2 linked regions of the Oryctolagus cuniculus genome follow. The protein of the gene in region 1 binds, or shares a complex with, the protein of each later gene. Links are inferred from orthologs where the notes say so. Each region holds a gene or a part of one and is shown in the gene's direction. Other genes may lie near its edges.

Evidence for each region. The genes of interacting proteins can lie anywhere in the genome.
Region 2: the proteins of GABARAPL1 (region 1) and NBR1 are in contact, whole or in part, in an NMR structure (PDB 2L8J), measured with the Homo sapiens proteins. The link is inferred for Oryctolagus cuniculus from reciprocal best matches to the Homo sapiens genes GABARAPL1 and NBR1. Residues at the interface, in NP_113600.1 of Homo sapiens: Glu12, Tyr13, Lys16, Glu17, Lys20, Ile21, Lys24, Tyr25, Arg28, Pro30, Lys48, Tyr49, Leu50, Val51, Pro52, Phe104; in NP_005890.2 of Homo sapiens: Ser729, Glu730, Asp731, Tyr732, Ile733, Ile734, Ile735, Leu736.

What each region holds. Positions count from the first base shown.
Region 1 is NC_091440.1:106,915,062-106,919,484, forward strand, and holds the start of GABARAPL1 (gamma-aminobutyric acid receptor-associated protein-like 1), read left to right. Parts: upstream 1-1,497; 5' UTR 1,498-2,442; coding exon 2,443-2,532; intron 2,533-4,423. UniProt on the Homo sapiens protein: Ubiquitin-like modifier that increases cell-surface expression of kappa-type opioid receptor through facilitating anterograde intracellular trafficking of the receptor. Involved in formation of autophagosomal vacuoles.
Region 2 is NC_091448.1:19,820,304-19,823,950, reverse strand, and holds part of NBR1 (next to BRCA1 gene 1 protein), read left to right. Parts: intron 1-905; coding exon 906-1,094; intron 1,095-1,775; coding exon 1,776-1,853; intron 1,854-2,315; coding exon 2,316-2,530; intron 2,531-2,920; coding exon 2,921-3,085; intron 3,086-3,368; coding exon 3,369-3,578; intron 3,579-3,647. UniProt on the Homo sapiens protein: Ubiquitin-binding autophagy adapter that participates in different processes including host defense or intracellular homeostasis.

The sequences.
Region 1 (4,423 bases):
TGAGTTTTTAAAGTGGCATTTTCTCTGGTTAAAAGAGGAATCTGAAATGTTTTTATTAAATGTGTTAATTTATAAATTAGCTTCCGTATAACATTTTAAATGTCATGCTGAGAATAAAGGTAAGGAACACACTTTGGAAACTGACAGATTGTGTATTCTAAGATAAGGCATTGGCCTTTAGAAAAGTTGTGGCAGAAAGATTAACCAAAATTTCATCTCCAAATTAGTTTTTACATATTGTATAAGTTGCCTTTGTGCTTGGATATTTTTAAAATAAAGGTTAAAATCAGCATTTCAACTAGCTACGATTGTTCCCAACAACACTCTTAGCATTTTAATTGCCACCATAATTACCTTTCTCAACTGGATGTAAAGCAGTCCTCTAAAAGATTTACCTAGGTTTGAGTCAAAGCTAAAATGAATGAGTGGCAATTAAACTAATTGCAACTTGAAAATAAGGGCTGGAAATTATATACAATGTGATAAAATGATATGAGGATTTTCATATATTAACAAAAGAACAGAGGCTACCACTGTGGCAGAGGCTTATTAAGCTGCAGCTTGCCATACCGGCACCCTCCAACAGAGCAGTGGTTTGAGTCCTGGCTGCTCTGCTTTCCTTCCCGTTTCCTGCCCAAGTTCTTGGGCCTCTGTCATCCAAGAGGGAGACCTGGATGGAATCAGAGAGCGGAGAAGCAGAGAGTGAGAGAGGTCTTCCATGCACTGGTTCACTCCCTAATTGGTTACAACGGCCGGAGCTGTGCCGATCCCAAGCCAGGAGCCAGGAGTTTCCTCCGGGTCTCCCACATGGGTGTAGGGGCCCAAGGACTTGGACCATCTTCTACTACTTTCCCAGGCCTTAGCAGAGAGCTGGATTGGAAGTGCCACAGCCGGGTCTTAAACCTGCGGCCATATGGGATGCTGGCGCACTGTGGGGCAGGGTGTTAACCCGCTGCGCAACAGCGCTGGCCCCTGGATGGAATTATTGGCTCCAGACTTTGGTTTGGCCCAGACGGGGCTGGTGTGGCCATTTGGGAGTGAACCAGCAGGCAGAAGCTCTTTCTCTCTCCCTCTGTCACTTTGCTTTTTGAATAAATCTTTAAAAAAAAGTTGACAAATGCCATGGGAAAAAGGAATTAACAAGACCAACGGGACCAACGGGACTATGAAATTCGTTTTCTTGTTTCGATAATGAAAGTTTCATTTTGTGGGATTTTTGAAGGCGACGCTGATAGCCCTTGTCTAATAGTTTTCAGAACTCACAGACTGGAACACAAGGGAACCCTTCCCCTCTCTTCTTTGCGATCTCTGCCGCCCTCTCCCTACAGACTCCAGGGATCCCCGGCCAGAGCAGGGCTGGGCAGGTCTTGGGTCCCGAGGTCGTGAGGCAAGAGATGCCTCATGGCACCCGGTACCTGAGGCAGTGCCTTCCGTTCACGCGCCGGGCCGATTGTACCCCGCGCATCTATTTTCCACGTGCGGTTTTGCAGAATTAAAGAAAAACAACAACAACCCAAACATCTGAGCTCCACCGAGTGAGGGGCCTCCACGGCTCCACGAGGCCCAGCTCCCGGGGTCCCAGGGGAAAGCGAGCCGTTCGCGAGCGTGAAGTCCTCGGAGCCCTCACCAACACCACCTCCCCGCACTGGGGCCCGAGTCACGCCCTGCTGACCGACGCTGCCATTCTGAGGACGGACTGCGGCGGGGACCAAAACAGGACGACGCCGACGACGCGGAGCGGGAAGGCTGCGGAGCCCGCAGAGGGCAAAACGCAACTCCGCGCCCCTTCCGCAGGGGCAAAAGGCATCCCAGGAGGCGCGGGACCCCGGCCCACGCAGGCTCCCGGTCCCAGGCAGGGGGGACCAGGCTGGAGGGCAGCCCTTTGTATTTGTTTTGGGTCCCAACCAAGAGACGCCAAGGAGGGGGATGGAGACATCTTTAGCCCGTTGTCTTAACTAAAAACCGTTTTTCATATCAAATCGCAGTAGAATACCAAGTATAACGCTTTCAGGTTTGCAGTGGGCTCCACTCGGGAAAAAAAAATCAGGCAGGGTCAAAATAAATAAAAACAAACAAGGTTTCTGTTCACCTCGGTTCCGCCGAGTCCGGAGCGCCGGGGGCGGGGCCGGGGGCGGGGCCTGAGGGCCTGGGCGCGGCTTCGTGACGTCACAACCCCTGCGCGCCGCTGGGGTGTTTTTGTGTTCCCTGCGCTTGGGCACAGCCGCCCGGGTCTCTTCACCTGGCCGCTTCCCACCTGCAGGCCGGGGCCCCGAGGTGCCCGTCCTGAGCGCTGGGCCAGGCGGCGTGGCAGAGGGCGCGGACGCTTCCGAAGCGATCCTGGTACCCCCAGAAGTTGGCGGAGGGCAGCGAAGCGCGAGAGACGCAATCGTCCGCGAGGGAGGCAGGCCCCGTCCGGGCGTCTCGGAAAACCTGCGGTGCATCATGAAGTTCCAGTATAAGGAGGACCATCCCTTTGAGTATCGGAAAAAGGAAGGAGAAAAGATCCGGAAGAAGTATCCGGACAGGGTCCCTGTGAGTGTCGTGGGGGCGGGGAGGATGGAGGGGGTCGGGGCCCGTGGGTGCGGGGCGGCGGGCTGGCAGCCCTGCGGCGCAGAGGGGGCTCCGCGAGCCTCGCCCGCCCGGGGCCGTTCGGCCTGCGGATCTGGGGTGGGATGGGGGGGGCTCGCGGCCCTAGCGGAGGCCGCTGGTTCCTGGCGGCAGAGCCCCTGTCTGCGGTGACTCAGCAGTATGGAGGGCTCGAGCAGGTGCAGGTGCAGGTGCAGGTGCAGGTGGGCCCGCGGTGGGGCTTGTCTGCCCGCGGTGTGGGCGTGTGGATGCGGGCCGTGGACGTGCCGCTGTTAAGCACGCAGCGGAATTGTGATGGGAGCCACTGATGCCTTGGGGTTTGCCTCTGAGGATGCTTCGCCTTTAATTACCCAAGTTGGCTTTGGCCCTCCTGAGCTCTGGGCCTGGGAGGTTCTTTCTTGATTTCTCTTAGAATTAGGGAGGGGAGGGCTGGGGACGCCACGAGACGGGCCTGGCCCAGAAAGCAAGGTCACGTTCTCTGCGCAACAGCCGCCTGCCTCAGCGTTCCCGGCCCCGGGGGCCCGTGGGGGGCGGGGAGCGGCCGGCCTGCCCTTGGAGCTGATTGTGATCCGATGGGGCCTGACACCATAAGGCGGGACTGAGGACTTTTTCTTTCGGATTTGGACACTGGCTCACGTCGCTAAAGCTGGTGCCAGGAGCGAGGAGGAAGAAACATGAAGCCATCTCTCAGCATCCGGGCGTTTTTCCCGTTGCCCCCTCCCCCGCCCACTTGCCCGGCTCTTGTCTAATGCAGGCTGCGTAGCCCAGGATGACTTGGGTGCGCGGGCCAGGGGCTGCAGCCCTTGGGTGTTTGGAGATGGGGGCGCAGAGTTTGTGATTATTTCCATCTTCAGACAGGGACGGTGGGATAAGGATAAGTGGGATAAGATGTCAAGAGTTGCCATTATGTGATGTGGCCTCTCCTGACTCACACGGACTATTTGGGAATTCTCCAATTCTTCCGTAACTCTCATGTTCTTACTGCAGCCAGAAGCAATCTGGGCTCTAGCCCCGCAATGGAAACTCTCTGGCCCTGCCATTCCTCAGCTATTTTGTACACAGTGGCTTTGGGCTACAAAGGGGAGCTAATCGTTACCCAGCGCCCTGTGTGAACCTGCCTCTTCCTGGACCTAGGGTGCTTGTTGTAAATGTTTCTCCCAGATCTAGCGATTCTGGAGGAATGAGGTTTAAAAACGGCAGCTAGCTTTCACTGCTGACTTACACACAGCAGGCCGCGTTCTCAGGGCTCTAATGTCATTCACTTAATCCTCACATTGCAATCCTCACTCTATAGATGAAGACTGGAACCATAGAGAGATGAAGTCACTCCCTAAAGACTTGACCTTGCGAGTCTATGGCACAGCCTGGATTCCAACTCTGGCCCTTAACCTCCCGTGCTGTTTGGTTTAATTTCTAATACAGTTCTGGCATTGTGCACCTCACACTGCTGAGTAGTGGAAATGTACTGTTGCTACCCTCAAGAATTCATAGGGTAGTCTGGTGCCAGACAGGGCACGCAGTAAGCAGAATGACTGGGAGCCTAGGTTCAGGTAGCTTTATATAGATGCACCTGCTCCTAGTTAGCATTCTCCTGTATTTTCTCAAAACAGCGCTTCCCTTTTCAGCCCTTTCTGTGCATCCCCCTGCCCCCCAGGATATTTCAGCTTATCCTTCTTGTTCTTTCTGTGCTTACAGTTTGGAGTTGGATGTCTTACTTTCTGATAACTAGTAAGCCATTCAGACCACCCCTGGGATGCCAGGGCTCCACCAGTTAGGGTTTAACCAGCTGTGAGCCTCCCTCCCAGCCACTCACTGGGTGCCCGGCCTCTGGACCCTT
Region 2 (3,647 bases), on another chromosome or scaffold:
ATGACCATACTTTAATTAATGGCTTTCGGTGCTACAGTGGCAAAATTACAAAAGGGAAATGGTTTGCAAGCTAAAATACTTACTAAGTGGCTCCTTTAAGAAAAAAATTGATCTAGAATAATAGCTTTTATACTTTTTGTCCATGAAATGCCTTATGAGAAGAGTTCCTTATTTAAATTGTTTATGCTTAAGGGATACAATGTTTTGATATATATGTACATCGTGAAATGATTATTACAGCCAAGCTATTTAACATGTCCTATATTATCCTTAAATGGAATTCTATTTTTAAATGGAATCTTAAGAAGTGTAATGCATAAAACAGATAAAAGAACAGTTGTGAATAACAGTGAGTTGATGAAGGGAGCTAGAAACCCCATAGGGTTGGCCATTAGTCTTGGGCACTGGAGTACCTTCTTAGAATCCCAAATTCTCCTTGAAGTATAGTTTTTGAATTAGGAAGATACTATTCAAAAAAAAAAAAAAAAAAAAAAAACTTGAGCGTTTAAGGTTGCTTTTTAGTTTCTCCAGTTCTAATGGTCTGGGATTGACTTTTAGACCATTGAGATGGAAGTCCATGGATGGAATCTGATATAAAAATGTATTAAACAGGAAAGTAGTAACCCAGTTAATGCAAACATGTCACCTAGTAAATTTTCTGTGCTAATTACCTATTTTTGTGTTTTAATAATAAAACCATTTCTAGTTCAAATTTTTTTTTTCCAAAAAAAACCCAGCAGACTGGGTGTTCATGTTGTGTGTGATGTTTGGTTTGATATAATAAAGCAAATACAAATCATGATGTTTTCCAGCGTAATTTACCACTCTTCTGTTAGGCGTCTTTGAAATTATATTTGGAAAAAAAGAATCATCAAGTACGTTTTTGTTTCCTAACGCACTCTCAGATGGCAGTCAAGCAGGGAAATCAGCTGCAGATGCGAGTCCATGAAGGGCACCATGTTGTTGAGGAAGCCCCTCTTCCAGTGGCGGAAAAACGAGCTGCCCGAATGGGGAAGAAGCCACCTGCACATTGTTCTTCACTAGTGAGAGTCTTGGGATCAGACACAAAGAACTCAGAGGCTCCTGCAGCACAGGTATGAATGGATAGACTTCTCCATCCAATTTTCTTTTCTTTTTTTTTTTTCTTTAATTTTTTTTTTATTTTTTGACAGGCAGAGTTAGATAGTGGGAGAGAGAGAGAGAGAGAAAGGTCTTCCTTCTGTTGGTTCACCCCCCAAATGGCTGCTACGGCCGGCGCGCTGCGCCAATCTGAAGCCAGGAGCCAGGTGCTTCCTCCTGGTCTCCCGTGCGGGTGCAGGGCCCAAGAACCTGGGCCATCCTTCCCACTGCCTTCCCAGGCCACAACAGAGAGCTGGACTGGAAGAGGAGCAACCGGGACTAGAACCCAGGGTGCCAGCGCCACAGGCGGAGGGAGGATTAGCCTAGTGAGCTGCGGCACTGGCCTCCATCCAATTTTCTAATGTTATGTCTCATTGTCTTTGATCTAAGATTTGCATATTCATCAAAGATTTAGTAGTTATTATGACTATCCCAGTCTCTGACTTTGAGTCTGATAACAGAGGCTTAATTCTGGAGAACAGGGAGCCAGGTAGGACAGAAACTATGTTTTGTTTTTATATTCGTTCATTCTGTGACCCTTTTTTAACCATATGTTTGTATAACTTGATGAAGGAAACCTAAAAATAATATACTTCAGGACAGTTATACTAAATGGAAAAAAGAATCTACAAGATCTTGATTGCGTTTTCTTGCAGTTGTTTCCACTTGCTCCATGTGACACAGACCAGCCTCAAGACAAGCCCCCAGACTGGTTCACAAGCTACCTGGAGACCGTGAGTGTTCTCTCTGGTTGGGGTTTTAGCAGCACTGTTGGCACAGGTGGAATGTGAAACAAATAACCAAATCCAGGTGGTTGCTGCCTGTTGCTTATAAAATGAAGAGTGGCCGCTATTCACTTCCAAACTTAGAGTGGTTCAAGAAAGCCCTAACCTTTGTGATGAGGCACCAGGAAAAGAGGGATTTGGGTTCTAAGCATGTCAGGGAGAGAGAGAGATCTCCAGGCTTGAGATGTAGGATTTGCTCATCAGAAGGACTTCTTGGTCTCTTCTCGGAATCAGTTCACCTGGAGAAGGAGCTGCTTGCTACCTTTCTGTGTATTCATTCAGTGGCCATTAGTTGTTGATTGTGTTCTTAATGTTATACCAGAGATGGTGAGGTTTCAGATCTGTTGGTATCCTACATCTTTTCCCAACATTGGAACTGAGTTTGCCCCCACTTTCTGCTCTGCATTCTAGTTCAGAGAACAGGTCGTTAAAGAAACAGTCGAGAAGCTTGAACAGAGATTACATGAGAAACTTGTCCTCCAGAACCCATCCTTGGCTTCCTGTTCCTCAGAAGTCTCAATGCCTGTTTCAGAGGAAACAGTGTTTTTGCCAGAAAACCAGTTCAGCTGGCATATTGCTTGCAGCAGTTGCCAAAGAAGGATCATTGGTGTGCGCTACCAGTGTAGGTAAGCAGTCACTTGGGGTGGGATAGCTATTGGCAGACCTTAGAGCAGTGACTTCCTGGCATTCTGGGTAGCTGGAGGGAAATTGTAGGTATACTGTGTCTCTGAGCATTAGGTATAGTAGCTCCGAATTGGAACCACAGGCCACTGTGTGATTTAAGGGGTAACTACTCAGATTTTTGTGTTCAGATACACATTTGTATTAACAGAACTGAGTAAAACATCGTACTCCTCAGAACAAAATTAGACCATTTGTTCCAAATGCTTCCATATTTTATTCTTTCCAAAGATTGTCCTTGGAAATGGATATAGGACATAGAAGTCTGGTCCGATATCTCCCCTCCTCAAGTGTTTCCTATTCTGCAATTCTGTACTGCCATTCTTTCCCTACAGCCTCTGCCCATCCTATAACATCTGTGAAGACTGTGAAGCAGGATCATATGCCCATGACACTAACCACGTTCTGCTCAAGTTGAGGAGACCTATTGTGAGTTCCTCTGAACCATTCTCCCACTCAAAGTATTCTCCTCGTCTCCCAGCCGCCCTGGAACAAGTGAGGTAAAATGAGATGCTAATTGGCTTCTTGGTCCTGGGAACGTAAACCACTGGTGTAATGTGTAGTGTCACAGCACTGTAGGCAGTCTTCTCAGTTCTGCCCATCTTCATTGATGTACAATAAGAAGATAATTATCCAAAGGTAATGAAATGGAAAGGAGAACTGTAAAAGAAATGAGGAAACTAAAATAGAAGCTGACTTCAATGGCGACTGTAGTTGGCTCCAAATGGCTTCAAGATTTGTGAGGGCTCTTTGTTTTTTAAGACTTTGACTTCTATCTTACAGGCTTCAGAAACAGGTTGATAAGAACTTTCTTAAAGCAGAAAAGCAGAGGTTGCGAGCTGAGAAGAAACAGCGTAAAGCAGAAGTCAAGGAACTTAAAAAGCAGCTTAAACTCCACAGGAAGATTCATCTGTGGAATTCAATCCATGGACTGCAGAGCCCCAAGTCTCCTCTGGGCCGACCTGAGAGCTTGCTCCAGTCCCACACCTTGATGTAAGTCCAGGGCTGGGCCGGCGCCGCGGCTCACTAGGCTAATCCTCTGCCTAGCGGCGCCGGCACACC